Xenopus tropicalis: one gene and its partners. The protein of the gene in region 2 interacts with the protein of the main gene of each other region in a pairwise test. Links are inferred from orthologs where the notes say so. Each region holds a gene or a part of one and is shown on either strand. Other genes may lie near its edges.

The links.
Region 1: the proteins of dctn2 (region 2) and gadd45a interact in binary tests that used the Homo sapiens proteins (3 or more experiments, as listed by UniProt). The link is inferred for Xenopus tropicalis from reciprocal best matches to the Homo sapiens genes DCTN2 and GADD45A.
Region 3: the proteins of dctn2 (region 2) and ccdc172 interact in binary tests that used the Homo sapiens proteins (3 or more experiments, as listed by UniProt). The two-hybrid records come from large-scale screens. The link is inferred for Xenopus tropicalis from reciprocal best matches to the Homo sapiens genes DCTN2 and CCDC172.

The regions. Positions count from the first base shown.
Region 1 is NC_030680.2:83,503,330-83,507,931, reverse strand, and holds the start of gadd45a (growth arrest and DNA damage-inducible protein GADD45 alpha), read left to right. Parts: upstream 1-1,503; 5' UTR 1,504-1,612; coding exon 1,613-1,656; intron 1,657-2,388; coding exon 2,389-2,490; intron 2,491-3,145; coding exon 3,146-3,359; intron 3,360-4,602. UniProt on the Homo sapiens protein: In T-cells, functions as a regulator of p38 MAPKs by inhibiting p88 phosphorylation and activity.
Region 2 is NC_030678.2:140,663,664-140,668,397, forward strand, and holds the start of dctn2 (dynactin subunit 2), read right to left. Parts: upstream 3,008-4,734; 5' UTR 2,820-3,007; coding exon 2,784-2,819; intron 1-2,783. UniProt on the Homo sapiens protein: Part of the dynactin complex that activates the molecular motor dynein for ultra-processive transport along microtubules. In the dynactin soulder domain, binds the ACTR1A filament and acts as a molecular ruler to determine the length.
Region 3 is NC_030683.2:4,858,860-4,863,632, reverse strand, and holds the end of ccdc172 (coiled-coil domain-containing protein 172), read right to left. Parts: intron 3,042-4,773; coding exon 2,954-3,041; intron 835-2,953; coding exon 817-834; 3' UTR 595-816; downstream 1-594.

The DNA of each region.
Region 1 (4,602 bases), on a different chromosome or scaffold from region 2:
TTCACTGCATAAAAAGCACATCTAATGTCTGTCTGGCAATAATACGTATGTCTTGTGGGGAAATATTGCTCTGCCTTTGTGAAGTAGCCCGAAGTTGCCTCTTGAGGAACTTCGAAAATAGCTTGGCAGGCTAATACAGTAGAACCCCATCTTACATTTTTCAGGGGACCAGGAAAAAACTTAGAATTTGGAAAATGTAAAATCAGGTAAATGTGTTAAACCAATGATTGTACTTAAAGGACATAAGCACAGGGGGCAGTTTTACTTTGAAATACAACATTTAGTGTGTTAATGACAAGGGTTAAGCAGTGCAGCATTACTGTTACACTATGGGACAGCATTTGCAAGACCTCCCTGCCAGTCACATGCACAACCTAAAGCAATAAATGATTTGTGCATGACTGTATGAGCTGCAGCTATACTAGCATTTACTGTTTACAGACAGAACCATAGCAAAGTATGCATCTCTATAGTTATATAAACCTCTTAATTTTACTAATAATAATATTACAGAGGACAAAGACATTTATGGGAACATCAGGAGCAAAATCTGTGGAATCAATTTAAAAAAGGGAAAAAACACCCATTGAAATGCAAAAAAAAGGTAAAATGCAGGAAAATCCTTGAAATAAGGGTATGTAAAATTGAGGTTTCACTGTATTCTTTTAATGATGCCTCAGACCAGTGCTTTCCAGGTCTTTGCTGTGACATTATAATGTTATACCTGAACAGTAGGGGTAGATTGATGTCATATAAAGATGCTTATATAAGGACCCCCAGTGGGGTGAGTCTCCATTGGGATAGTTATCATGTAAGGTGATATCTAATATGCTAGCAATAAAACGTTATCATTCGTAATTTACCATTTAAAGTGAAAAAGAACAAATAACGTGAAGAAAGCTTTGTACCATTAATGAGACAAATGTAAGACTGAAAAGATAGTCCCTTGCAAGTTTTCCCTTTGACAGCTGAATGCATCTATAAAGATAATTGTACACGTTATTACAGCTAAACACTACTACAAATGCAATGGCCGGACAGGGCTAGCTAGCGCTTACATTCACTGTGGCAAACAAGGCTTATTTTCTTCTGTAATGTAATGTGTTTGAAATGATACCTTTATTTTAAAACAAAGACATGCAATTGTTAAAGTTTTCTGTAACAGTCGGTAAGGTTCCAATATTGTCAGCAGTGAAAGGGTTATTTACACAATGTTCAGCACCTGGTAACTGTATGGAGCCAATCACAGGGCAGGCCGCTAAGTAAGCCCCGCCCCGCACTCGCTGTACTCTCGGTTCCCAGAGTAGCAGAAGAGGTCAAGTCTGTGGCCGGCAGCCTGATTTACATGAGCCAATCAGCATCGCGATAGGCAAATGAGGGGAGCTGTGGTTGGTTGGGTGTATGCGTATGAAGCCGGGTAGAGAAGGCGTGAGAGCAGAGTGTGTAGAGTCAGCAATTGGAGAACACGGGGCAGCGGCGCGCTACTGTATCAGGCAGCAGTTCCGAGAACTGAGGTGAAACTTTCTAGTTCCCAGGAAGAGCCTTGCTGGCCGCAAAATCCACTACAAATCTGCAGCGCTACGGAGCAGTGCAACCCGTACAGCAATATAATATGACTCTGGAGGAGCAGCTGTCTGGGGATCAGAGCATTGGAAAGTAAGATCTCTTGCGCCACAGAGCGGGTTATAGTGCGGATGGGGCAGTCTGTGTTCGTGCGGATGGGGCAGTCTGTGTTCGTGTGTTGCTGCTGTTGCGAGGACTTGCCTGGGTCAGAAAGGGGTTTGTGGGGTCAGCCAAAAGCATTGCGCAAAATGGTAGTTTGGTGTGAACAGATGCCTTCCATGCACCCATCTGCGCTGTGGGCACTTGCACCTCCTCTTGGGGTCGGTGGGTGCTACATCACAACGGCCCATGTAATCATTTTGTTACAACGACCAATAGCATAGCCGCCCCGGTTGCCCCTTACTGCAGCAGGGATCATTTTGTCATGAGGTGCATTCGCCCTATGGCCCCTTGCCCCTGGGCTTCTGTTCCTTTTAAACTGTGGCCTTCCTGCTTGTATAGGACTTCAGCTCCCAGCATCCAGCACAGCCCAGTGCTCCTTAGTGGCTTCTGCAATGGCCTTTCAAATGGCTCACTTTGGGACTGAGTTTTTGTTCAAAAGTGTAAATCTGTGATAAATGTACTCTCTGTAAGTAGCTATATGTAATGTGTGTGTGTGTGCACATGTCTGTGCCTGAGAGGTATTCTAAGTGCCTGTTGCTGCAGAACTTACTCAGACATAGTGCCTGACTCATGCATGGTTAGGATGCTGTTGGGAATAGCTCAGGAGTCACATTTGCATGCTTTGCTCAGATGCTCATGAGTGTTTCTTGTGTTATTCTGCAGGATGGAGTCAGTGGGAAACGCACTGGAGGAAGTGCTCTGCAAGGCCAAACTGCAGAGGACCATCACTATTGGGGTGTACGAAGCTGCAAAACTTCTCAATGTGTATGTAGGCTTTTTTTGTTACTTCCCCTTAAAGTCAACTTTAACATTATGGTTGTCACAGTGCACAAATCAAACTTAAAAATAAAAAAATCAAGGCTGCGTTTACCTTTTAGATTAAGTTTTAGTAATATATTCTGAGACTATTTGCATTGGCTCTTTATCTGTTATTGTTTGTGGTTTTTGAAGTATTTAGCTGTTTGCTCAGCTTTCTGGTTGCTAGGGTCCAATTTACCTTGACAACCAGGCAGTGGTTTGAATGAGAGACTGAAATATGAATAGGAGAAGGCATGAATGGAATACAAAGGTAATAAAAGCAACAATAACATTGTAGGTTTACAGAGCAATAGTGATTTTGGCTGCTGGGATCAGTGTCCCCCAATTACAAGATAGCATTTTAAATTGCAAGCTAGAAGAGTAGGAAGGGAAATTAATTGTAAAAAATGAGGAGTATTTGAAAAGTTGGCAAGAATAAGGCATGCTCTGACAAAAAAAAAAGTTAGATCAAAGGTGAATTGCCCCCATTAATTCCATTTAGCTTAGCGTTTGGAAACGCAGATTTATATACATACATTAATGGCGTTTACTAATCAATATTGCGCTGGGTTTGAAAAGAGGCTGACTTTAAATGTTTTCTCTGCACCTCTTGTTTTCTCAGGGACCCAGACAACGTTGTGCTCTGTTTGTTGGCTACTGACGATACCTACGATCAGGATATCGCTTTACAGATCCACTTCACCCTGATCCAGGCATTTTGCTGTGAGAATGACATCAACATCCTGAGAGTGAGCAACATGAGCCGGCTAGCTGAGATCCTGGGCGGCTCTGACAAGCCTGGGGAACCTGCTGATCTGCATTGTATTCTAATCAACGTAGGTAACACTCTCATGTGGAGTCTGCCAGGAGGGGCTTGGGTGGGTTCTGCTGTTTGCATACCAAGACAATAACGAGGGGCTTTGTAAATGGGATACTGTCACTCCTTTAAATTTACCCTGCTTATTGTTATTTGAATGCTGAATAACTGATTGTTTAGTAATACCATAGTGCTATGTTGGTCATTACATTCCCAGGTAAATAGTCATGCTTCCTCCTATTATGGTGAACTGCTGCACGGAGAAAAGTAAACACCATATCCAAATGCATTTATAATTATAGGTTACTTTCCATTTGTTCCCCGTAAAGTATGAGGGCATAGCTTATATGCACAGAATGTTCCTTCTCTGCATACTTCTCATAAGTACAAGCGGGAGCAGTCCCAGTTTCTAGCTCAGTGAATGCAGTGTGTACAGGATGTTGTTGCATTGCTCCTGTTGCCTCTGGGGAGACTTTCTGTATGGGCAGGGACAGCTCTTATATAGAACGGCAGCACAGGAATGTTCTGTCCACATAGTAATCCATGCCTTACTGTTATACAGTCTCAGACATAATACAGTCTTTTATTGAGCATTCTCCATTACATTTAATTTGTATAGTTGCCTTGGCATTGAACTCGTGCCACAACTTTGTTTTATATTTAAGATATACAGTACATGAAACCAGATCTATGTCTGTTGGATGTCCAAGGCTAAAACCACATTCTCATTTATCTTCAACATCAATGTGGCACTTTGAAGACTAAGTTGTTTTAAATGCCAAAGCCGCAGTTATAAAGGCTGCACCTGTGTTCCTTACAGTTATAGAACTGCTGCCATACACCTACACATTTTGTTGGCAGATTATGCCTTTACCACACCTACATTGCAGAACCCGGTGCTTGCATTTCCCCTGATCACTATAGCAAAGGAACAATTGGTGCTCAGAGGGAATTGTAATCTGGTCCTGCCCTACCCTTGGTTTCTATTGCCAGTTCGTTGCACCTTTCCCATGCTTCTCTATGACTGACTCACTGTCACATTCCTTACCAGGCCACCCCCTCCTGCCGCTGAAAAATGTAGTTTCGGTAATGCAAGATCAGAGCAATTACTGCAATTTTATTGGAGAGCAAAGTCTGCTTTGTACAACTGATTTCCTCATCTGAACTCTGGGGTTTCCCTGTTACTGACTTGTTCCAACATGTTCTTTGCCAGTGGCAAGCAGTTTAGTTCCTGTCCTCCCTTTAATGTGCTTCCAAAAAAC
Region 2 (4,734 bases):
GTTACCTCAAATTAAACCTCTCTAAAACTGAACTGGTTCTCTTTCCCCCATCCCACGCCCACATTGTTCCCGAGGTATCTATAACGGTTAACAATTCTACCATCACCCCATCTTCCCAGGCCCGGTGCCTTGGGGTTATCCTTGATTCTGCCCTGTCCTTCACTCCTCATATCCAATCACTTATCAAATCATGCCACTTTCACCTAAGAAATATCTCCAAAATCCGATCATTTATCCAAGATGCTGCCAAAATTCTTATTCACTCTCTTATAATATCTCGCCTGGACTACTGTAACTCCCTATTAATTGGCCTTCCCCTCCAAAGACTGTCCCCTCTCCAGTCCATAATGAATACTGCTGCCAGGCTCATACACCTCTCCAACCGCTCCTCCTCTGCCATGCCACTCTGCCAATCCCTGCACTGGCTTCCCCTACCATCCAGGATAAAACTCAAACTATTGACCCTCACATTTAAAGCAGTCCATAACTCTGCCCCACCCTACATCTCTGAACTTATCTCTAGGTACCATCCAACCCGCTTGTTACGCTCCTCTACTGACCTGCTCCTCAACTCCTCTCTCATTCCCTCCTCACACGCTCGCATTCAAGACTTTGCAAGGGCTGCCCCTTCTCTGGAATTCGCTCCCACAAACTGTCAGACTTTCTCCCAATCTCTCTGCCTTCAAGAGATCTCTAAAAACACATTTATTTAGAGAGGCTTACCCTAATCTAGCTTAGCAATACCCTGTGCCACACCTCTCACAACTCTGGTCATGCCCATTCCCACACCTTGTGTCTCAACCCTTTCTCCTTGTAGATTGTAAGCTCTTTTGGGCAGGGCTCTCTTCACCTCTTGTATCGGTTACTGATTGCTTTATATGTTACTCTGTATGTCCAATGTATGTAACCCACATATTGTACAGCGCTGCGGAATATGTTGGCGCTTTATAAATAAATGTTAATGTAATGTAATGTAATGTAATCCCCATAAATGATGAATGCTTTATCTATCTCCCTTGCAGAACAAAGCTGGCAATACAATGACAGTTCTTGTTGTTTGGTGAGGCCCCAAACTGTGTCTGATTTGGCTACCCAAGCTGTGGGCCCAGTCAGGCTGATCTGTTTGGCACAGTACTTGCCCAACTGAATTTTAAAACCTTCTCCAGTGACATTTGGCTGATAAGCTCCCAAGTTGGCAGCTTTTATCAGCCTACGTATGGCCAGCTTTAGTGGCACTTCTGTCTGTCCTTTACTCTAGCCATGGCAACTGATTTAGTAACAAAGCCTACCAAGAAATTTTACATGCTTGTACACACTATGAGTTAACGGTCTCATTTGCTCAGATACCTCCAGAGCCAGACTGGGATTCAAAATAGGCCCTGGCATTTCAAGTACACAGAGGCCCAACAGCCCCCACCAGCCCAATAAATAGTGACTGTCTATGGCATCTTACAGCAGCCCCCCTGGCATTTGCCAATATCCACTAAATGCCAGTCTGTGCCTGGATGCCTCCTATTATACAAACATCAAGCTTTTTAATTGCTGTTGTGCATGTTCCTATGTAGAGGGGTTGCTGGGGGTTTGAGCCTCTCCTGCCTTGATGTGAGGACCTGAAAGATTGCCTGGTGGGGTGGGGGGTCCTCAAATGTTATGCCATTGTTTCTTGGGGTTGCCAGATGAGGACTGTGGTGTGCTATTTGTTAACCAAAGTATATTCCATGTATTATATTAAACATATAATACATATTAAACCAGATAGTCTGAACAAATCCAGGGCTGTGGAGTCGGTAGATAAATTCTCCGACTCCTCAGTTTCTGATACTTCCGACTCTACGACTCCGACTCCTCTGTTTTTAATATGCTAATGTATTTTATGCATTCATACAGTCAATGAAAAGCATGCTTCATGGTCGCTCAACGTGTTCGTTTATGCACTGCGTGCATTGGGCTTTATTCTTATAGCAGAGAAGTAATTAATTATGACTGTTTGTGAATTGGGACATTTACACTTACTTTATTTATTTATTTTTTTCCCATTTAAATTTAGTAGGAGTCGGAGTCGGTTCATTTTTTGCCGACTCCAGGTACCCAAAATTGCCTCTGACTCCACAGCCCTGAACAAATCTCTAAATCCCAGACAAAACTTTGCAACTATGATCCCCAAATTGGACCAAGCTCTGCCAGTTACATTAATGCCCCACCCACTGAAGCAACTACCCCCCAAACCTCATTCCTCTGAATAGGGATCTGCCACTGATCTTCCGACATATTATATATTTCTGGAGAAAATACAAGTACCCGAAGGAAGGCACCATATATAAATAACATACTTGCAAGAGGTGACAGGGAAAGTGTTTGCGACGCCCCGCCCCTGAGGATCCAGTGGGCCCTACTCATACAGGCATACTGTGTGTATAAACACAAGGAATACATATAGCTTCCAGGAGATGTGAGTGGGAGCTGCCATGCTGAACCATCAAATCACTGCATAATCAAAGAACAAACTGGCCCCAAAGCTGAGTATGATGTAAGTGCTGTCCTATTAGATTCATTTCTAATTTTCCCTACAAGTATCAATTAAAAGAAGTCCATCAAGCTTGGAACTCTCACAGAAAGCAGTTCCAGTTGTCACTGAACTACTTCTCTCAGCCCCCCAATACCCTGATGTCAGGAGGTGGTATACCCAGTACCCGGCGGAACATAGTACCTACACCCTGCCATACAGGCGCCTATCTGTATAAATGTTACGTACAGGTGTATGATGTGTATGAGAGATTACTCACTATGCCTGGCAGGTCGGCGTATTTGGGGTCGGCCATGTCTTATACGTGAGATGACAGGAGGGGCCTGGGCGCGGCTCAATGCGGCAATGGGCCGGACGGAAGGAGCCAGACAGCCACACGCTCAACGGCTTCTATCAGGTCAGACGCTGTAGAAGTAGATGGAGAAGCACAAACGGCAGCCAGTGAGCGCCACAACAGATACCAGCGCCGGTACCGAGCGTGACAATCCGGCAATGATGGAAACCTCGCGAGATTGGAGCGCTTCACCTGACGTCACTTTGCTGTTGCATGACGGGAAATGTAGTTTCCGTTTGTTTTGTAGTGCGTTAGGGTTACACGCATTCTGACGCTTGTTTGGTCTGAGCCGCGCTGGCCGGATGTATATCTGGATGTGCTCCCATTTGGGTTGGGCCGGGCGTACAGCTATAGTTAGCGCAGTACTTCTATGTTTATTTGCTTATTGAATTGGACCTCTGTATAGGAAAGAAAACACGGATTTTACTCTTTTAATTAATACAGCTATGTTTAAAGGAGACATATTGGATAAATGGGAAAACCCTAATTTTGTAGGCAGTTATGAATAATATATGGCTGGTTTCCCTTTGGGCTAAACATTAATCCTATCTGTAACAATGGCCCCTTTATTGGAGCTCCCTATAGATCCTATCATTTGGCTGTCTGTGTTTCAAATGGAGAGTGGGTGTGTCCTAACAGTCCCTGCCGGAAGCACGGTAGGAGGGGGAGAGCCAATCACAGCCTTGCACTCACACAAGCAAAGCCAGGCTTCAGTTCCCTATCAGGTCAGCCTAGCTGCTGATTGGTTCCTATCCTACAGTGCAGGGTACTGAGGGCCGCCGGCTCCCCAGCTCATCCAGAGAATTCAGCCAACAGGAAGTGGAACAGATGGGCGGGGCTAGTGGGGTTTTGTGCAAATTTCTCAATAAATCAGTCCAAAACACAACTTTTTTAGCACAATCCTTCTATATCTAGGGGAGTAAATTCCCTGGTACATTGTTAATTTTTATAGGATATGTCTCCTTTAATGGAGAATTAAATGGATTTTTTTTTTATTGTAAGGTTGTCATGTGGTTGGTAATTTACCAGCGTGGTGGTGGTTAAAATGATATTTGATCTCAATGTTATTAATAGGGAAAGAAGATTAAAATATAGGAAGGCCGGGGTTTTTCTCAGAAAAGGTGGCAACCCTATGCAGAGGCCTCCCCCCTTACTCACTGTTCCTGTTATGCTTGCGCTTGTCACACATCTCAAATCTACCTTTTACGGAAGGCCAGTATGAATAATATATGTGCCTGATGTCACTCTGGCCTAAAAACTGATCATGGCACTTTTATTCCCCACTCTCTGTTTCCTCTGTATGGTTTAAAAGAGTAGTATTGTGTCTGCGATAGCCCAAAATAGGAGGTGGGTAGCCAATCAAGCTCTGCATTCATACAAGCAAATACAGTATGTAGTTTTATGTCCGGTCCACCTAAATACAATCCCTAAAAACTATTTGCCCCCTTCCTGATTTCTTATTCTTTTGCATGTTTGTCACACAAAATGTTTCTGCTCATCAAAAACCGTTAACTATTAGTCAAAGATAACATAATTGAACACAAAATGCAGTTTTTAAATGAAGGTTTACGTTATTAAGGGAGAAAAAAAACTCCAAATCTACATGGCCCTGTGTGAAAAAGTGATTGCCCCCCTTGTTAAAAAATAACTTAACTGTGGTTTATCAATTTCAATTTTCAATTTCAATATCAATTTCTGTAGTCACCCCCAGGCCTGATTACTGCCACACCTGTTTCAATCAAGAAATCACTTAAATAGGAGCTACCTGACACAGAGAAGTAGACCAAAAGCACCTCAAAAGCTAGACTTCATGCCAAGATCCAAAGAAATTCAGGAACAAATGAGAACAAAAGTAATTGAGATCTATCAGTCTGGT
Region 3 (4,773 bases), on a different chromosome or scaffold from region 2:
ATAAAGGCACAAGGCTGCAGGCTGAGTTATACAGGGAACTCTGAGTATCACTCATGTATTATAAGGGATAATGTACCCCCTACTGTAAATGATAAGGATATTAGCAGTCACTGAGGGGTTCTGTGCCCATATAAAGGCACAAGGCTGCAGGCTAATATCCTTATCATTTACAGTAGGGGGTACATTATCCCTTATAATACATGAGTGATACTCAGAGTTCCCTGTATAACTCAGCCTGCAGCCTTGTGCCTTTATATGGGGGGCACAGAACCCCTCAGTGACTGCTAATATCCTTATCATTTACAGTAGGGGTACATTATCCCTTATAATACATGAGTGATACTCAGAGTTCCCTGTATAACTCAGCCTGCAGCCTTGTGCCTTTATATGGGGGGCACAGAACCCCTCAGTGACTGCTAATATCCTTATCATTTACAGTAGGGGGTACATTATCCCTTATAATACATGAGTGATACTGAGCTGTATACTGGGTGTAAGCTCACCCATAGCAACATTCTAAATCCAGAGGCAGGACTGAGAGCATTACTATTACAGTGCCAGCTGAAATACAAATGAACTAAGAGACATACGACATAACGTAAATTACCTTTACTGATGAAAGTAACATTTCATATCTTTGAAGCTGAACAATATGCAGCTTGTTATATTATACAAACTAGCAATGGATTAAGAGTTACAGTAACTTCTGCAAATCCAAGTCACCAGACAGATCCAGTCCTGGAATGTAATCAGCTTCATATCAAACTGCAGAGAGGTACAGTTCAGCACAGGATCATTTTGCCAAACACATGGCATTCACTGCTGGGATATTTTCTGGGGGTAAAAAAAAAACAAATGTAATGTTTGTATTAATTTGCCAAACCTTAGAAATTTGATGTACCATTCTCCTAAACAAGCCTCCCCCCCACCCGAATTTGGTTCTTTATGAACTATATCCAAACTTCTGCCCTACTGTATAACAGCCCTTCCACCCCCTCGTGCTAGTGGTGCCACTAATATACATGGACTTCTAATACAGAGACACTGTTAGTCCTCTCTCTCTATCTGTGCCCTGTTCTCTCTTCTTCCCTGTTAACTCTACTTTTGTTTAGACCTCATTTTTGTCTTTTTGGATTTATTTTCACCTCCACATTTGTCTCTCTACTCCCCGAACCCCCTTCCCCTCTCTCCTTCTGTCTCTCATCCTCTCTCCTTTCCTTTTCTATTCCCCCCCCCCCCAACTGTTTGGCGTTACTCCCCCCCATCCTCCCTCTTCTCCCCCTTCTATATTTCCCCTCTCCCCCATTTGTCTCTCTACTCCCCGAACCCCCTTTTCCCTTCCCCTCTCTCCTTTTGTCTCTCATCCCCTCTCCTTTCCTTTTCTATTCCCCCCCCCCAACTGTTTGGCCTTACTCCCCCCCATCCTCCCTCTTCTCCCCCTTCTATATTTCCCCTCCCCCATTTGTCTCTCTACTCCCCGAACCCCCTTCCCCTCTCTCCTTCTGTCTCTCATCCTCTCTCCTTTCCTTTTCTATTCCCCCCCCCCCAACTGTTTGGCCTTACTCCCCCCCATCCTCCCTCTTCTCCCCCCTCTATATTTCCCCTCTCCCCCCATTTGTCTCTCTACTCCCTGAACCCCTTCCCTTCCCCTCTCTCCTTCTGTCTCTCATCCTCTCTCCTTTCCTTTTCTATCCCCCCCCCCAACTGTTTGGCCTTACTCCCCCCATCCTCCCTCTTCTTCCCCCCTTCTATATTTCCCCTCTCCCCCCATTTGTCTCTCTACTCCCCTGAACCCCCTTTCCCTTCCCCTCTCTCCTTCTGTCTCTCATCCCTCTCTCCTTTCCTTTTCTACCCCCCCCCCCAAATGTTTGGCCTTACTCCCCCCCATCCTCCCTCTTCTCCCCCCTTCTATATTTCCCCTCTCCCCCCATTTGTCTCTCTACTCCCCGAACCCCCTTTCCCTTCCCCTCTCTCCTTCTGTCTCTCATCCTCTCTCCTTTCTTTCTACCCCCCCCCCAACTGTTTGGCCTTACTCCCCCCCATCCTCCCTCTTCTCCCCCCTTCTATATTTCCCCTCTCCCCCCATTTGTCTCTCTACTCCCCGAACCCCCTTTCCCTTCCCCTCTCTCCTTCTGTCTCTCATCCCCTCTCCATTCCTTTTCCTATCCCCCCCCCCCCAACTGTTTGGCCTTACTCCCCCCCATCCTCCCTCTTCTCCCCCCTTCTATATTTCCCCTCTCCCCCCATTTGTCTCTCTACTCCCCGAACCCCCTTTCCCTTCCCCTCTCTCCTTCTGTCTCTCATCCCCTCTCCATTCCTTTCCTATTTCCCCCCCCCTTTAGACCTATTCAGCATCTTATCTGCCCGGCATATGGGCACTAACTATGGCAGGTTTGATTTTTCCATCTGGACCATCTGCCTATACCCGCCATTTTAATTCGATTGTTTGCCCCTGAGCACACCATTGATATCTTCTGTTTTCCTGCTGGTAAAGCCCTACCAGGGCCGGAACTAGGGGTAGGAAAAAGAGGCACCTGCCTAGGGTGCAACAATTGGGGGGCGCCAAGCAGCAACCTCTCCTGCCTACCCCTAGCTTGCTCTCCCTTCACTTGCCCCCGCCGGTTGTCATAACACGGGCAAGGTGGCCGACCGGGTTGCCTAGGGCGCCCAGTCGGCTTGGCCCACCTCTGAGCCCTACCCCTATCATTCTGCAATCCATCCCATAACCCAGTGAGTGCTCAGTTCTTAGATAAACCAGCTGGGAAACTGGGTCAGTGATGTGACATAGAGAAGAGGCAGCAGGGAGGGTTGCCTGAATGGGTTCATACCTGTTAGGGCAGAGGGCAATACTGCACTTGAATAAACGCACAGCAGCGCTATAACTCTTAACCCGATCCAATAAAAAATGTTGTGTATGGTTAAAATGCACGTTGTATCCATCCAATGAACATACCGTCTGTAAGAAATCTATCTCCAGCCGCAGCGCTTCATACACAGCCTCAGAATCGTCACTGCTGTACGACTCCAGTTCTTTTTTCAGCCTGTGCACATAGAAAATCAGCGTTATATTGACTTGAAATAAGAATCGGAAACGACTGCTTTGTTTCTCATTGTAATTTCAAGATTCACCCGGTCCCTGATTTTCACCGTTGCTATGTTATCTCTGTGACCCAAGTCCCATTAGCTGGTTGCACAGATCCCCCCACTCACCATGGACTTACAGTAAAAGGAATAAGGGCTCATTTTGGTTATTAGCACCAACACTTATTAGAACATCTTTTGGCATTTACATAGCCCCCCCTTCTTGTCTGTACATCTTTACATGAGCCTTATGCAAGGGATGTAAGAGTTAAAGGGGTGGTGTAACTTTGAATTGACTTTTAGTAGAGAGTAACATTTGCAATTGGTCTTCATTTTTTATTAATTGAAGATTTTTAATTATTTGAATTTTTGATTAGCAGTTCTGTGAGGATCCTGATACAATAGCGACAGACACCTTGCAACTCGGTGTATGATTGGGCTATAAGTACAAAGTACCTTTGTGTTCAGTAGATCTACTGTTAAAGGAGAAGAAAAGGCATTTTACGGCCAATAGATTGGCCACAATAGTGCCACCTAGAATGCTATATTTATTCTACAGAAAGCTTTACCATACCTGAGTAACAGCCCTAGAAGCTCCCTCTGTTTAATATAGCAGCTGCCATTTTTTTGGAGGAGTCCCAAGCCGGACTGAGCTTTCAGAAGGAGCCGGCGCTACACATTAGAACTGCTTTCAGCTAACCTATTGTTTCTCCTACTCCCATGTAACTGGAGGAGTCCCAAGCCGGACTTGGATTTCTTACTATTGAGTGCTATTCTGATACCTACTGGGAGCTGCTATCTTGCTCCCTTCCATTGTTCTGCTGATTGGCTGTTGGGGGTGAGGGGGGGGGGATATCACTCCAACTTGCAGCGCAGCAGTAAAGTGTGCCTGAGTCTGAGCTTTCAGCCAGCGCTACACATTAGAACTGCTTTCAGCTAACCTATTGTTTCTCCTACTCCCATGTAACTGGAGGAGTCCCAAGCCGGACTTGGATTTCTTACTATTGAGTGCTATTCTGATACCTACTGGGAGCTGCTATCTTGCTCCCTTCCCATTGTTCTGCTGATTGGCTGCTGGGGGTGAGGGGGGGGGATATCACTCCAACTTGCAGCGCAGCAGTAAAGTGTGAGTGAAGTTTATCAGAGCACAGGTCACATGGCTGTGGCACCCTGGGAAATGAAGAATATGGCTAGCCCCATGGGAAAAACAGATTACAATGCAGGATTCTGCTGGAGAAGCTCTATTAACTGATGGGTTTTGTAACAATTATATTTTCCCATGACAGAAGGAGTAAGGGTTAGGGGGGGATAATGCAAGAGGAAGTAGGAAATATAAGTAAAATAAAATACTATTCTGCAGGGCTCAGACCCAGCTTTCCCCCCCCCCCCAAAAGTTGATATTATACAGCAGGAAGAGGCAACTGACGCTATTACAAACCCCTCACACACCATGAAATATATGGCTCGGAAGATTGATATTTTCTGCTTATAAAACTTAACATAAAATTAAATTGCAAATATTTCTCAAAACCAGGCGGCCCGGGCGCCCTCAGGCAAAGTGTCGCTAATATAAACCATCGGTTCAGCTCCAATGGACTTTTTTTTTCTCTCTCTCCGGCGTGATTTATAAGGAGAAGAGAGTCATTTGGTTCCGTACCCTAAATTAATGACATTTTTCTTCCCTTCCCCTCA